Linked DNA regions of Ovis aries. The protein of the gene in region 1 interacts with the protein of each later gene in a pairwise test. Links are inferred from orthologs where the notes say so. Each region holds a gene or a part of one and is shown in the gene's direction. Other genes may lie near its edges.

The links.
Region 2: the proteins of MIPOL1 (region 1) and CCT3 interact in binary tests that used the Homo sapiens proteins (3 or more experiments, as listed by UniProt). The two-hybrid records come from large-scale screens. The link is inferred for Ovis aries from reciprocal best matches to the Homo sapiens genes MIPOL1 and CCT3.
Region 3: the proteins of MIPOL1 (region 1) and SCNM1 interact in binary tests that used the Homo sapiens proteins (3 or more experiments, as listed by UniProt). The two-hybrid records come from large-scale screens. The link is inferred for Ovis aries from reciprocal best matches to the Homo sapiens genes MIPOL1 and SCNM1.

The regions. Positions count from the first base shown.
Region 1 is NC_056071.1:45,410,060-45,413,710, forward strand, and holds part of MIPOL1 (mirror-image polydactyly gene 1 protein), read left to right. Parts: intron 1-2,831; coding exon 2,832-3,062; intron 3,063-3,651.
Region 2 is NC_056054.1:106,308,995-106,312,645, reverse strand, and holds part of CCT3 (T-complex protein 1 subunit gamma), read left to right. Parts: intron 1-284; coding exon 285-402; intron 403-1,842; coding exon 1,843-2,029; intron 2,030-2,656; coding exon 2,657-2,806; intron 2,807-3,651. UniProt on the Homo sapiens protein: Component of the chaperonin-containing T-complex (TRiC), a molecular chaperone complex that assists the folding of actin, tubulin and other proteins upon ATP hydrolysis.
Region 3 is NC_056054.1:101,064,038-101,067,788, forward strand, and holds SCNM1 (sodium channel modifier 1), read left to right. Parts: upstream 1-1,072; 5' UTR 1,073-1,192; coding exon 1,193-1,294; intron 1,295-1,468; exon of another isoform or gene 1,469-1,505; coding exon 1,506-1,576; intron 1,577-1,815; coding exon 1,816-1,904; intron 1,905-2,002; coding exon 2,003-2,100; intron 2,101-2,214; coding exon 2,215-2,303; intron 2,304-2,704; coding exon 2,705-2,899; intron 2,900-3,532; coding exon 3,533-3,632; 3' UTR 3,633-3,687; downstream 3,688-3,751. Other genes in the region: LYSMD1 (lysM and putative peptidoglycan-binding domain-containing protein 1), read right to left, coding at 112-291. UniProt on the Homo sapiens protein: As a component of the minor spliceosome, involved in the splicing of U12-type introns in pre-mRNAs. Plays a role in the regulation of primary cilia length and Hedgehog signaling.

The DNA.
Region 1 (3,651 bases):
AGCATTAAGAACTTGTATTCATCAAAAGACAACATTAAGAGAATGAAATATCACTGTACCCCTATTAAAATGGCCACCGTTTAAAGAACTGGCAATCCCACTCTAAGGCTGCACGTAGAGCCACTCGAACTCCCTTGTGATGGGAGTGTACATCGGTGTGACCACTTTGGGAAACTTTGCAGGATCTGCTAAATCTGGACATGCATATATCCTAAGGAGAAATTCTGTTTCAGGTATGAGTGCTCACGTCACTTATATCTCAGTAAACCTGGAAACAAAAACCAAGCAAAAAAGAAGCAAGTGCGTAGGTCCATCGAAAGATACATATGAGAATTTATTCATGGCAGCAACCTTGGAGTGGTGAAATAAGTTACTGTATATTTATGTAACAGAATACTTAATAGAAAAAAAAGGGGGGGGAGAACTACATGCAACAGCAGGATGGATCTCATAAGCTTTATGTTAGGTAAAATACGTCAAACAAAAAGTTCAAAAACAAGCAATATTAATCTTGATAGAGGTTGAATTAGTGATTACCTTTGGGAAGGGGATCAACTGTAAGGACTGGAGTCTTCTGTATTTGTTCTGTATTTTGTTCTTTCAGTTCAGTTCAGTTCAGTCTCTCAGTCGTGTCCGACTCTTTGTGACCCCATGAAAGGCAGCACGCCAGGCCTCCCTGTCCATCACCAACTCCCGGAGTTCACTCAGACTCGCGTACATCGGAGTCCGTGATGCCATCCAGCCATCTCATCCTCTGTCCTCCCCTTCTCCTCCTGCCTCCAATCCCTCCCAGCATCAGAGTCTTTTCCAGTGAGTCAACTCTTCGCATGAGGTGGCCAAAGTACTGGAGTTTCAGCTTTAGCATCATTCCTTCCAGAGAAATCCTAGGGTTGATCTCCTTCAGAATGGACTGGTTGGATCTCCTTACAGTCCAAGGGACTCTCAAGAGTCTTCTCCAACACCACAGTTCAAAAGCATTAATCCTTCGGCGCTCAGCCTTCTTCACAGTCCAACTCTCACATCCATCCATGACCACTGGAAAACCATAGCCTTGACTAGACGGACCTTAGTCGGCGAAGTAATGTCTCTGCTTTGGAATATACTGTCTAGGTTGCTCATAACTTTCCTTCCAAGGAGTAAGTGTCTTTTAATTTCATGGCTGCAGTCACCATCTGCAGTGATTTTGAAGACCCCAAAAATAAAGTCTGACACTTTCCCTGTCTATTTCCTATGAAGTGATGGGACCGGATGCCATGATGTTCGTTTTCTGAATGACATTTAAAAGTAAAGAACATAGACTTTTTAGAGGTTTTGTTTTGTTTTTAGTTTCTTTCTTGGGTCTTTCAAGTAAACAAAAAGAGTGGATTGAAAGAAATTGGAAGTTGGAAGAATGTAGATGGTATGAGAGGACAGAGAAAGAATAGGAAAATGAGCAAGAGACAGAAGTCTTTAAGTATATAGATTGGTAGAAAGAAGAATGAAATAAGAGTTAGATACATAAATAAGGAGGTGAAAAAGCACAAAGGAAGATACTTTCTTTGCACTCCGCCAATCTGGCACCATACACCATGTTTATTTCATACATAATAATCAGTCACTTGACCACAGTGTAGCAGCATTCTCTCTTCCAGATTAAGTTGAATTCTGGAATGATTTCTTTTGGTGTGCTAACGGTCCCTGCTTCAGGTCCATCTTATTTCCTTGTGACACCTTCTCCAAAGTGAACACCTTGGAGAGGTGTATAGGTTGCTAAAGCAAGAAGAAATTTATAATTACTTTAGTTTGAAAAGTTTTAGATAAAGTACTAGGCTAGATATTCGGCCAGAGTTAAAGTTCCCTGACAAGCTTTCTGCAGCTTTAAGGATTAGATTACTTTCTTTCAACATTATCAATCTGTATTATATAGTTGGGTTGTTTTACTTCGAGTCTCCCATCGACATTTCTTTTGTATGCATATACTGAAATGATTTTATTTAATAAAAAAAGAACATCTCCTGTGTGGATTTTAAATTTCCCCTTATTAAATATTTATATTTTCAAAATGTCTTTATTTAATTGAGTGAGGTGCTTGGTGCCATTTCAAAATAACCTCAGGTGGTAGGTGTAATGACATATCAAAGATTTGACCTTTAGCATTTTAGGATTCTATTTGTCTGCATTTTCTTCTGCATTCATTTGGTCTTAATTTATATGCTGTTTCTCTGTATGACTTAATGAGTGGGTGTATTTGGAGTAAGATTCATTAACAAAAAGAAAATATATCTGAATACATATTATTTCTGTGCGGTCTGACTAGTAATTTTAACCTCATTCATATCTCAACTGTGACAAGTAGAAAATGCTGTGTATAAGGCTTCTCAGTATTTGTACAAACCTCATTCATTCTCATTAAGTGTTCAGCTGAATTAGACCCTGGATCTACTAAACTGATGCCCATTCTCTTACTTCTCACTTCTTTGCAGTCAGCTTATTACATTCTTTTATTTACCTAGAGATACTTTATTTTCCAATTCTTTGCTATTCCTTTTAAAGAAAATTGAATGTAATATTTACACTGATATAATTAAATTAACATCTTACAGCATCTTTTTGTATGCTTTGGTAGCAAAGATAATCATTTGTCTGGGTAGCTTTCAGCTTAGAAGCAGAGAAATGGATAATTATCAAGTATAATATTGTGATATAAAAATTACTTTCATTTATCCATTTAAGTATGCCTTTATTGATTTTTAGAAATGGATCTTTCTAACTGGAGATTTTTGTTTAATAGATTATTGGTTTGTAAGCCTACATATTTATGTTTAAATTTTTTTATTTTTATATTTTCTCAGTTTACACAAATCTTTATCCCAAGAAGAAAATTTGAAGGATCAGTTTAATCTTACACTTAGTACCTATGAAGAAGCTTTAAAAAATAGAGAGAACATTGTTTCCATCACTCAACAACAAAATGAGGAACTGGCTACCCAACTGCAGCAAGCTCTGACAGATCGAGCAAACATGGAATTAGAGCTTCAGCGTGCTGTAGAGGCCTCCCGAACGGCCAATGATAAAATTCAGAAGTAAGTAAAATGATCTTGTATTATTTCAAAAGTATGAAACAAAACAAGGCAAAAGCACTTTGTTTTGGCAACTAAGGAATATGTTATTCATGTTATTATTAGTTTCAGACAAAAGTGGATTGAGCCAAATGAACTTTTTTAGACTACCTGTCATATTTAAATTTGGGGTCAAAAAGTCATTTACTTGGAAATTGTGGTTACTGTTTAGGGCAAACAACTTTTATTTTTGTTTGTTTTTAACTTTCTTTAACTTAGTAATTGATCTTCATGAGTTCATGGAGGCCATACGATAAAAATCATTTCATAGGTAATACATGAAGTTATTAGCAAAGGGAAGAGATGGGCAAGTTACCAACTTTATTCATTTAGCATCAAAGTAATCCTGCCTGAGCTGAAATCTATGATCTTGCAGTTTGAGACCTCTAGGTACATAGAATCCAGTACAGTGAAATTCATTTTCTTGTGTTGTTCCTCTGAAGAATTCAATACAGCTTTCACAGTGCATGATATTTATTTTAAATAATCTTTGCATTTTTATTCAGATTAAAATAAAGCTGCATAATCAGTCAGTCTTTAATGATAGCTAGCA
Region 2 (3,651 bases), on another chromosome or scaffold:
TTCTTTCTTTTTAGAGTCTTTTGGAAAATATTTACTGTTTAAGAAACTGATAACATATGTGGTTAGATCACAGAATTAAGTAAACCGTAGGATCAATCTTTAGTCATTTAAAATGTATCTGATAATACTTTATTTCAGAGTTGGCTTGTGTAGAGTACAAAATTTGAAACAGTGTTGGCATACCTTTGGGGCAGACCTGCTTTAGAAAAGAAGAGCAGGTATTTTAGAAGCTTTGCTATCCAGGTAACTTTTTAAGATGTTATGGTATATATGTCTTTTCTCAGCTGGGGAGATGCTGTCTGTGGCTGAGCACTTCCTGGAGCAGCAGATGCACCCAACAGTGGTGATCAGTGCTTACCGCAAGGCATTGGATGATATGATCAGCACCCTTAAGAAAATAAGGTATTGGAGGTGGGGACCAGAAGCGGGTGGTGTCAACCAGGGAAGGCCTGGAAGACTGATCTGCTCTTAGGTGGTAAAGGAAGGCCGGGCACATCACCAGTAGTTTGTCTTATTTTGCAGGGAGAAAGACGGGAGCAAGATGAAGGGAAGGATAAGGGGAATAAAAGGTTTTAGAAAACAGCCAAGGATCCAAAGGAGCTAGGTTCAGTTCTTTAAAACATGTTTTGGTTACATGCAGTGTGCTGGTTTCCATGTTAGACACTGCCTTGGGGAATGTAGAGTAAGTGAAGTAGAGCTTCACTCCAAAGTTTTCGATTGTAGTAGGAGAAACAAGGAGTTAGATAACTGATTATTGAGGATTTGATATTAAAATATCCTACCATCGTGTATGATTATAACTGTTCCAGTCAGTACTCTCTGTAATACAAAGTGTTATGTAGGATAATAGTCAGCTGTATTCATTAAAATGAAAAGGATGGTACTGAAAATGCTGTTTGAATCCAGTCTAGTTATCACAGAACTTGCTGTTGGTCTGTGTTTGCTGAGTGCTATAAGGTATAATAAAAAGAATATAAAAATGTGTGACTTCTACTTAAGGGAATGTCAGTTAAATGAGAAAATGATACAAAATGCAAAACTTTTTTTATTAAAACAGTTGTTTAAAAAATAAAACCTGTAATACTCATATCTTGGGTTGTTGGATACGCAAGTACCCAGCAGTGTGGAGAGCTTTGTATTGTACTGCCTGCTATTAAGAGCCAAAGTCCTTGATAACTAGCAGTCTTAGAGAATGAGGTGTTTGATTGAAGGTAGTTTTATGAAGTAAGCTTTGTAAGAACATAGAGATACAAAGGATTTATTGAATATTCGGAGCTGAATCATTAACATTTTTCTTTTTATCAAGCAATAACTTTTGGAGCTATTGCTTTTTTCTCTAAAATACATGATTCAACAACTATTTAATGATTGCTTATTATGTGTCTTACACTGTTAATAAAAGAGATTTCAGCAGTATGTGAAAATTTGGACAAGATGGTATCCAAGGTCTATTAACTTTCAGGATTTTTTAGTTAAGGGATGAAGTTTCAAAGATGAGGTGTGTCTTGACTCAAGTTGTTAAAGTTATATAGAGTGTATATGGTTGGAGTAGAAAGTAAAGAGAATATTGTACTGTAAGCTCAGGTAAATGTGGAGAGTTGTCAGAGAAGGGAGCAGATTTTTCAGGGATTTGAGACACCTTCCAGGGATGGGTTAATTGTAAGCTTTCTAAAAAGCAGAAGATGGACAAGGTTACTTCTTGATAACACTTTAGTTCCTATGAAGGAACAAATTTCCCCTTCTGCCTGTTGGCCCCCTGTTACAGCCGTCAAGATGTAGATGAGGGATTTCTTAAATATCCAAGATCCCCCTAACCATATTACCCATTTTTCTTTTCTCCAGTATCCCTGTCGACACCAGTAACCGAGATACGATGCTGAACATCATCAACAGCTCCATCACTACCAAAGTAATCAGTCGGTGGTCTTCTTTGGCTTGCAACATTGCCCTGGATGCTGTCAAAACTGTACAGTTTGAGGAGAATGGCCGGAAAGAGATTGACATCAAGAAATACGCAAGGGTAGAAAAGGTAAACTCTCCAAGTGTGTACTTTGGAATCAAATTATTTCCTAGCATCACACCTTTATTATTAGAACCAGGAAGAAGAGTATTTACTATCTGGAAAACAAAAATCTTGAAAAAGAGGGTGCTAAAGAGGTATCTGAAATAATTCTGTTAGCTTCACTGCTGTCTCTACCCACGGTTTACAGGGGCAAGGGAAAGGCTTTTTTTTTTTTTTTTTTGGTCTGTATTTGTGTGCATATCAGACACTAGGTCAGGAGATAAGGGCCCCACACCATAGCACTAATAAAGCTTTCTCCATCTAAGATTTAAAAGTAGCATTAATAACTTCTGACCAGTAGAGGGAGCCCTATACCTAAAATTCGTGGAAATCTCTTTGAAGAGGTAGTGATATGTGCCCCTTTAAATCTTTGTGAAGCACTGAACTTGTTTCAGCCAACCTTCAAATTGTGTGTCATGGTCTAAGATTGATGTGCTTCCCAGAGAGAGAGAAAGGTGATTTGCAGCTAGTTGTTTTTGAGGTTTGTGGAAAATTTAGAAGTCTGAAATGGTGGTTATTTGGGAAAGATGAATGTCTGAAAAGGAAGTTGAGAAGTGTCTCCTGGTTGTGGATTAAAGTAATTCTTTTGCTCAGATACCTGGGGGCATCATTGAAGACTCATGTGTTTTACGTGGAGTCATGATCAACAAGGATGTGACCCATCCACGAATGCGACGCTATATCAAGAACCCTCGCATTGTGCTGCTGGATTCTTCTCTGGAATACAAGAAAGGAGAGAGCCAGGTAAGGGCACTGGCCCTATTCTGTAAAGTTGATGTAAGACTCTGTTACTATACCAAGGAGATCAGAAGTACTTAGTACATGCCTACTGTGTGACCTTCACATGTAGTCTCTGATTCACATGTAGTCTCTGATTCTTACAACAACCCTTAAGAGCAAGTGATACCGACTTTCATTTTACAGATGAGGGATCTGTACTCAGAAAAGTTAGGTTAATTGCTTCAGGAACATACCTTGTATTGGCCAAATCAGGGTTTGAACCCAGCTCTGGCTTCAATTCCAGAGTATCATGCAACCTTTTCTAATGCATTAGTAGAACATGGAGTAGGAGTTAATTGAGCTTTGAAGTGCTAAAAATTTCCAAAGGACAGGAAACTCACAAGGCTCCATCACACTTAAATAAAACAAAGTAATTGAAGCTTATCAAACAGTGATTGGGAACAAGAATCATTATTAGTTGGGAGAATTAAGACCCTGAGTTACCTTGCATGCTGACAAGTCAAAGGAAACGTTGAACTAAGTGGCTATAGACTTAGCCAAACTCTCCACTAATGCACTGTGACTTTCCTTCCAGTAAATAACTAAATGGAGTTAAACTAGATGTAGATGATTGTTGGAGCTAAACTGGTGTACAGAGGTGTTGGATCATGGTTTATTCCAGCTCTTGCTTTCTGGGATACGTGAGAGGGCGGACAGGGGTGAGGGGGGCGGGTGTGTGTTACTTGCTCGGTCGTGTCCAGCTTTTTGCAATCCCCTGGACTGTAGCCTGTTGGGCTCCTCTGTTCATGGGATTCTCCAGGCGAGACAGGAGTATGTTGCCATTTCCTTCTATACCAGAGGGAGTGTGG
Region 3 (3,751 bases), on another chromosome or scaffold:
ATAAACACAATTAAGAAAATTTCAGGGGAAGTTGCCTAGAGGGCCATACATTCTCATGAGGAATAAACCTCTTCTAATTGGGTGTCTACGTCCCAATCCTGGAAGACTCACCGTCACCCCGTATTTGAGTGCTAGTCCAGCCAGGGTGTCTCCGGGCGCCAACTGATGCTCCAGGCGTCTTTCCCTCACCGGGGAGCAGGCAGACTGCACCAGGCTTCCATAAGAACGAGCCCGGCTCCCTTGAAGCAGTCCTGACCCCCCGAGGGGGGCCTGTCTAGAGGGAGAAGCCATCTCCTCACCCTGCGGACACTGAGGTTACAACCCCGGGAGGCCCGGCCAAGTGACCGATAATGACGGGCTCGCGGTCCGAGAATGGGTATCTTAGAGGATTCCTCTCTTTCAGTCTTCTCTCTTAAGTCTCCCCGCCTCCCCCGGCGATACGCGACTTGTCAGCCGTAGCTTCTCCTCCCTGCAAGTCCCCTTCCCACAAATCTGTACTCCGACTATTCAGTCCCTACCTGAGTCTTTCCTTAGCACCCCTCCGACTTTCGACTCCCCACAACAACTCGCTACGTTGACCCCTGACCTTTGAACTCTAGCAGCCTCCTTAACACGCAGCTCAATTTGCCCCTACGTCTGGCAGCCCGACCTCCAGGCTCCCCAATACCCCGACTCCGCCCGGTCCCGGGGTTAGCCCTCTAGGGTCAGGAACAGATCAGGCCCACCCTATATGGGCTGTGGTTGCAGGCGAAGGGCGTGACAATAGCCAGAGTCTGTAGCACTCTTTCTCCGTCAGAGATCCTCAAAGGTATTCTCCAAACCAAATCAGTCACACCCTCAAATTCGGGCTCCTCATCTAGGTTCTTGTCATTCCAAACGCCTCGAATCTGCCAAGACGAAAGGGCCTGGATCCAGCCCGGCGGCAAGCTCTTTGAAAAAAGACTTCATTTCCCAAAAGGCCCCGCGCCGGTGAGGTCGCAGGGCACCATAAGAAATACAGTCCCCCTCGGCCGGCTAGAAGCTGGCTTCCGGGATCGCGCAGTGCATTCGTGGAAGCACACCCCCGGAAGTCAGGGGGCCAGCAGGAAAGAGACCGGAAGGAACGGAGACGACCCACTCCTGCTACGGTGGCCTGAAAGGCGTGGCGAAGGCGGCTGGATAGAGTTTTTGATTTCTGGGGCTCACAGTCTTGATGTCTTTCAAGAGGGAAGGAGACGATTGGAGTCAGCTCAATGTGCTCAAAGTATGCGGAGAGGAGTGCTTCCGAAGCAGCTTCACCTGCCCTCTGAAAGCTGTAAAGGAGCTGTTTTGTTGCTGTGGCAACAACTGGGGGGCGGAGTGGAGGGAACCAAAAGACTAGAGGTGGTGGTGACCCCTTTTTCACCGCAGATGTGTGTTCTCCCATGGTCTTTATTCCCTTTCAGTCCTCGTCTCTATCATTTCCCTTTTATCCTTCCCTCATATCCAGCTGATCCCGTGCGGACTTCTTCCCCTGTCTCCTGCAGAAACGAAGGGTCGGGGACCTGCTTGCCAGCTACATCCCAGAGGATGAGGCGCTGATGCTACGGGATGGACGGTGAGAGCGAGGAGTGGATCAAGTTTAAGGGTTTTGAAGTTAGAGACTCAAGAACTTTTGTTATTAAGGAGGAGAGCGGGAGTATCTAGGATTCTTTGGCTGGGAGTGAGTAACAGGGATGTGGGTGATGGAGACTGGGAGACTTGGGAGTTGGGCTTTGGAAATGAATGCTTGGACGGGGTGGGACCTATGACCAAGACTCCACTCCCCAGGGACCAATTATCTTTCTTACTCCCCAGCTTTGCTTGTGCCATCTGTCCCCACCGACCCGTCCTGGACACTCTGGCCATGCTGACTGCCCACCGTGCAGGCAAAAAACATCTGTCCAGTAAGTTTGGGAAAAGACAGACAATAGAGTAAACCCTTAAAATCTCTTCAGACCACCCTTGGTGCTCTGCTTTTAATCCTCTTCCCCTTTCTCCTCAGGCCTGCAGCTTTTCTATGGCAAGAAGCCAGCAGGAAAGGGCACAGAGCAGAATCCAAGACAGCATAATGAACTCAGGAGAGAAGAGACCACAGCAGAGGTAATCAGAGAGGGGAAGTTGTGTTCCAGGCAGGACTGTGCTGCACACCTTAGGCTAAAGGACTTTGGCTTATTTCTGGCTCTGAAGGCTCTGACTCTGCTGTCTCCATGCCAGGCTCCTCTCTTAACCCAGACTCGACTTATCACTCAGAGTGCTCTGCACAGAGCTCCTCACTATAACAGTTGCTGCCGCCGGAAGTACAGGTTAGTGGGATGGGAAAGCCAGAGGTAGGGAGGGACAAGAGATAGATAGCTCTAAAGTGATTATTTTCCTAATTGTAATCTGAGACATACTAAGTGTTCTGGGGGTGTTAACTTGTATTTCAGGAAAAAGATTTTTGTAACTAAAAAAGTGCTTTGTAATCCTATTTGATTAAAAATTAGTGTATTTTAAGGGTTCTACAAAATCATAAGATAAAAAAAAAACCTTAAAAGATTTAGACTTTCCTAAATTTACTGGATTCCAGAATTCTTTTTATGCAGAACACTTACTAATATCTTGAGGAACACAAAATTGGGAAGCACTCCTATAAGGAGTTGGGAGTCACAGGAGATTAGGCCCTTTCCTTTACTGCTTTTACAGACTTCGATTCTTCTCTGTCCAGACCGGAAGCCCCTCGTCCCTCTGTCTCTCGTCCCCCTTTGCCACCCGCAGAGGCTGAACCCCAAGGTGGGAAGATCAGTAGAGAACCTGAGCCTGAGGCTGGCTCACAGACCAAGGAGTCAGCCACTGTCTCATCCCCCGCACCTATGAGCCCCACAAGAAGACGGGCCCTGGATCATTACCTCACCCTTCGAAGGTGAGTATGCAGAATTTTTCCTCAGTTTTTCCCTTTTATCTCTGACCCTCCTTGTTTCAGAGCTTCTCAAGTGTTTTTACTTATCCCCCGGGGCTTCCCAGGTGGCACAGTGGTAAAGAAGACATCTGCCAATGCAGGAGATGCAGGTTCGATTTCTGGATCAGGAAGATCCCCTGGAGGAGGGCATGGCAACCCACTCCAGTATTCTTACCTGGAGAATCCTGGCGGGCTACATTCCATAGGGTCACAGAGTCAGTTCCTCTTGAAGCAACTTAGCACACGTGCATGCATGCACAAAGACTCCTTACATATGTAACTTTTTTTTCAAATAGTTCAGGAAATTAACTACAGTTAGATAGAAAGAACTATTGGGGCTTCCCAGGAGGCTCAGCAGTAAAGAATCCTATAGTGCACAAGAGGCAGGTTCGACCCGAGTTGGGAAGATTCCCAACTGGAGAAGGAAATGGCAACCCATTCCAGTATTCTTGCCTGGGAAATCCCATGGACAGAGGAGCCTGGCAGGCTACAGTCCATGGGGTCACAGAGTTGGACATGACAGAGCACTCGCACACATGCTTTTCTTAATTTAATAAACTTCCTTTCCTGACCAGTTCTATTTTCTGGTGTTTCCAGCTCTGGATGGATCCCAGATGGACGAGGTCGATGGGTAAAAGATGAAAATGTTGAGTTTGACTCTGATGAGGAGGAACCCCCTGATCTCCCCTTGGACTGACATCCTCGTTCCCCATTCATTTCACAAATAAACTACAGCCGGCGCTGGGAGCCCAGCTTCTCCTGAGTCTGGTTCCTTGTTTCAGGATTTCAGATCTGTTCATTCTCAGCCCAGCCAAT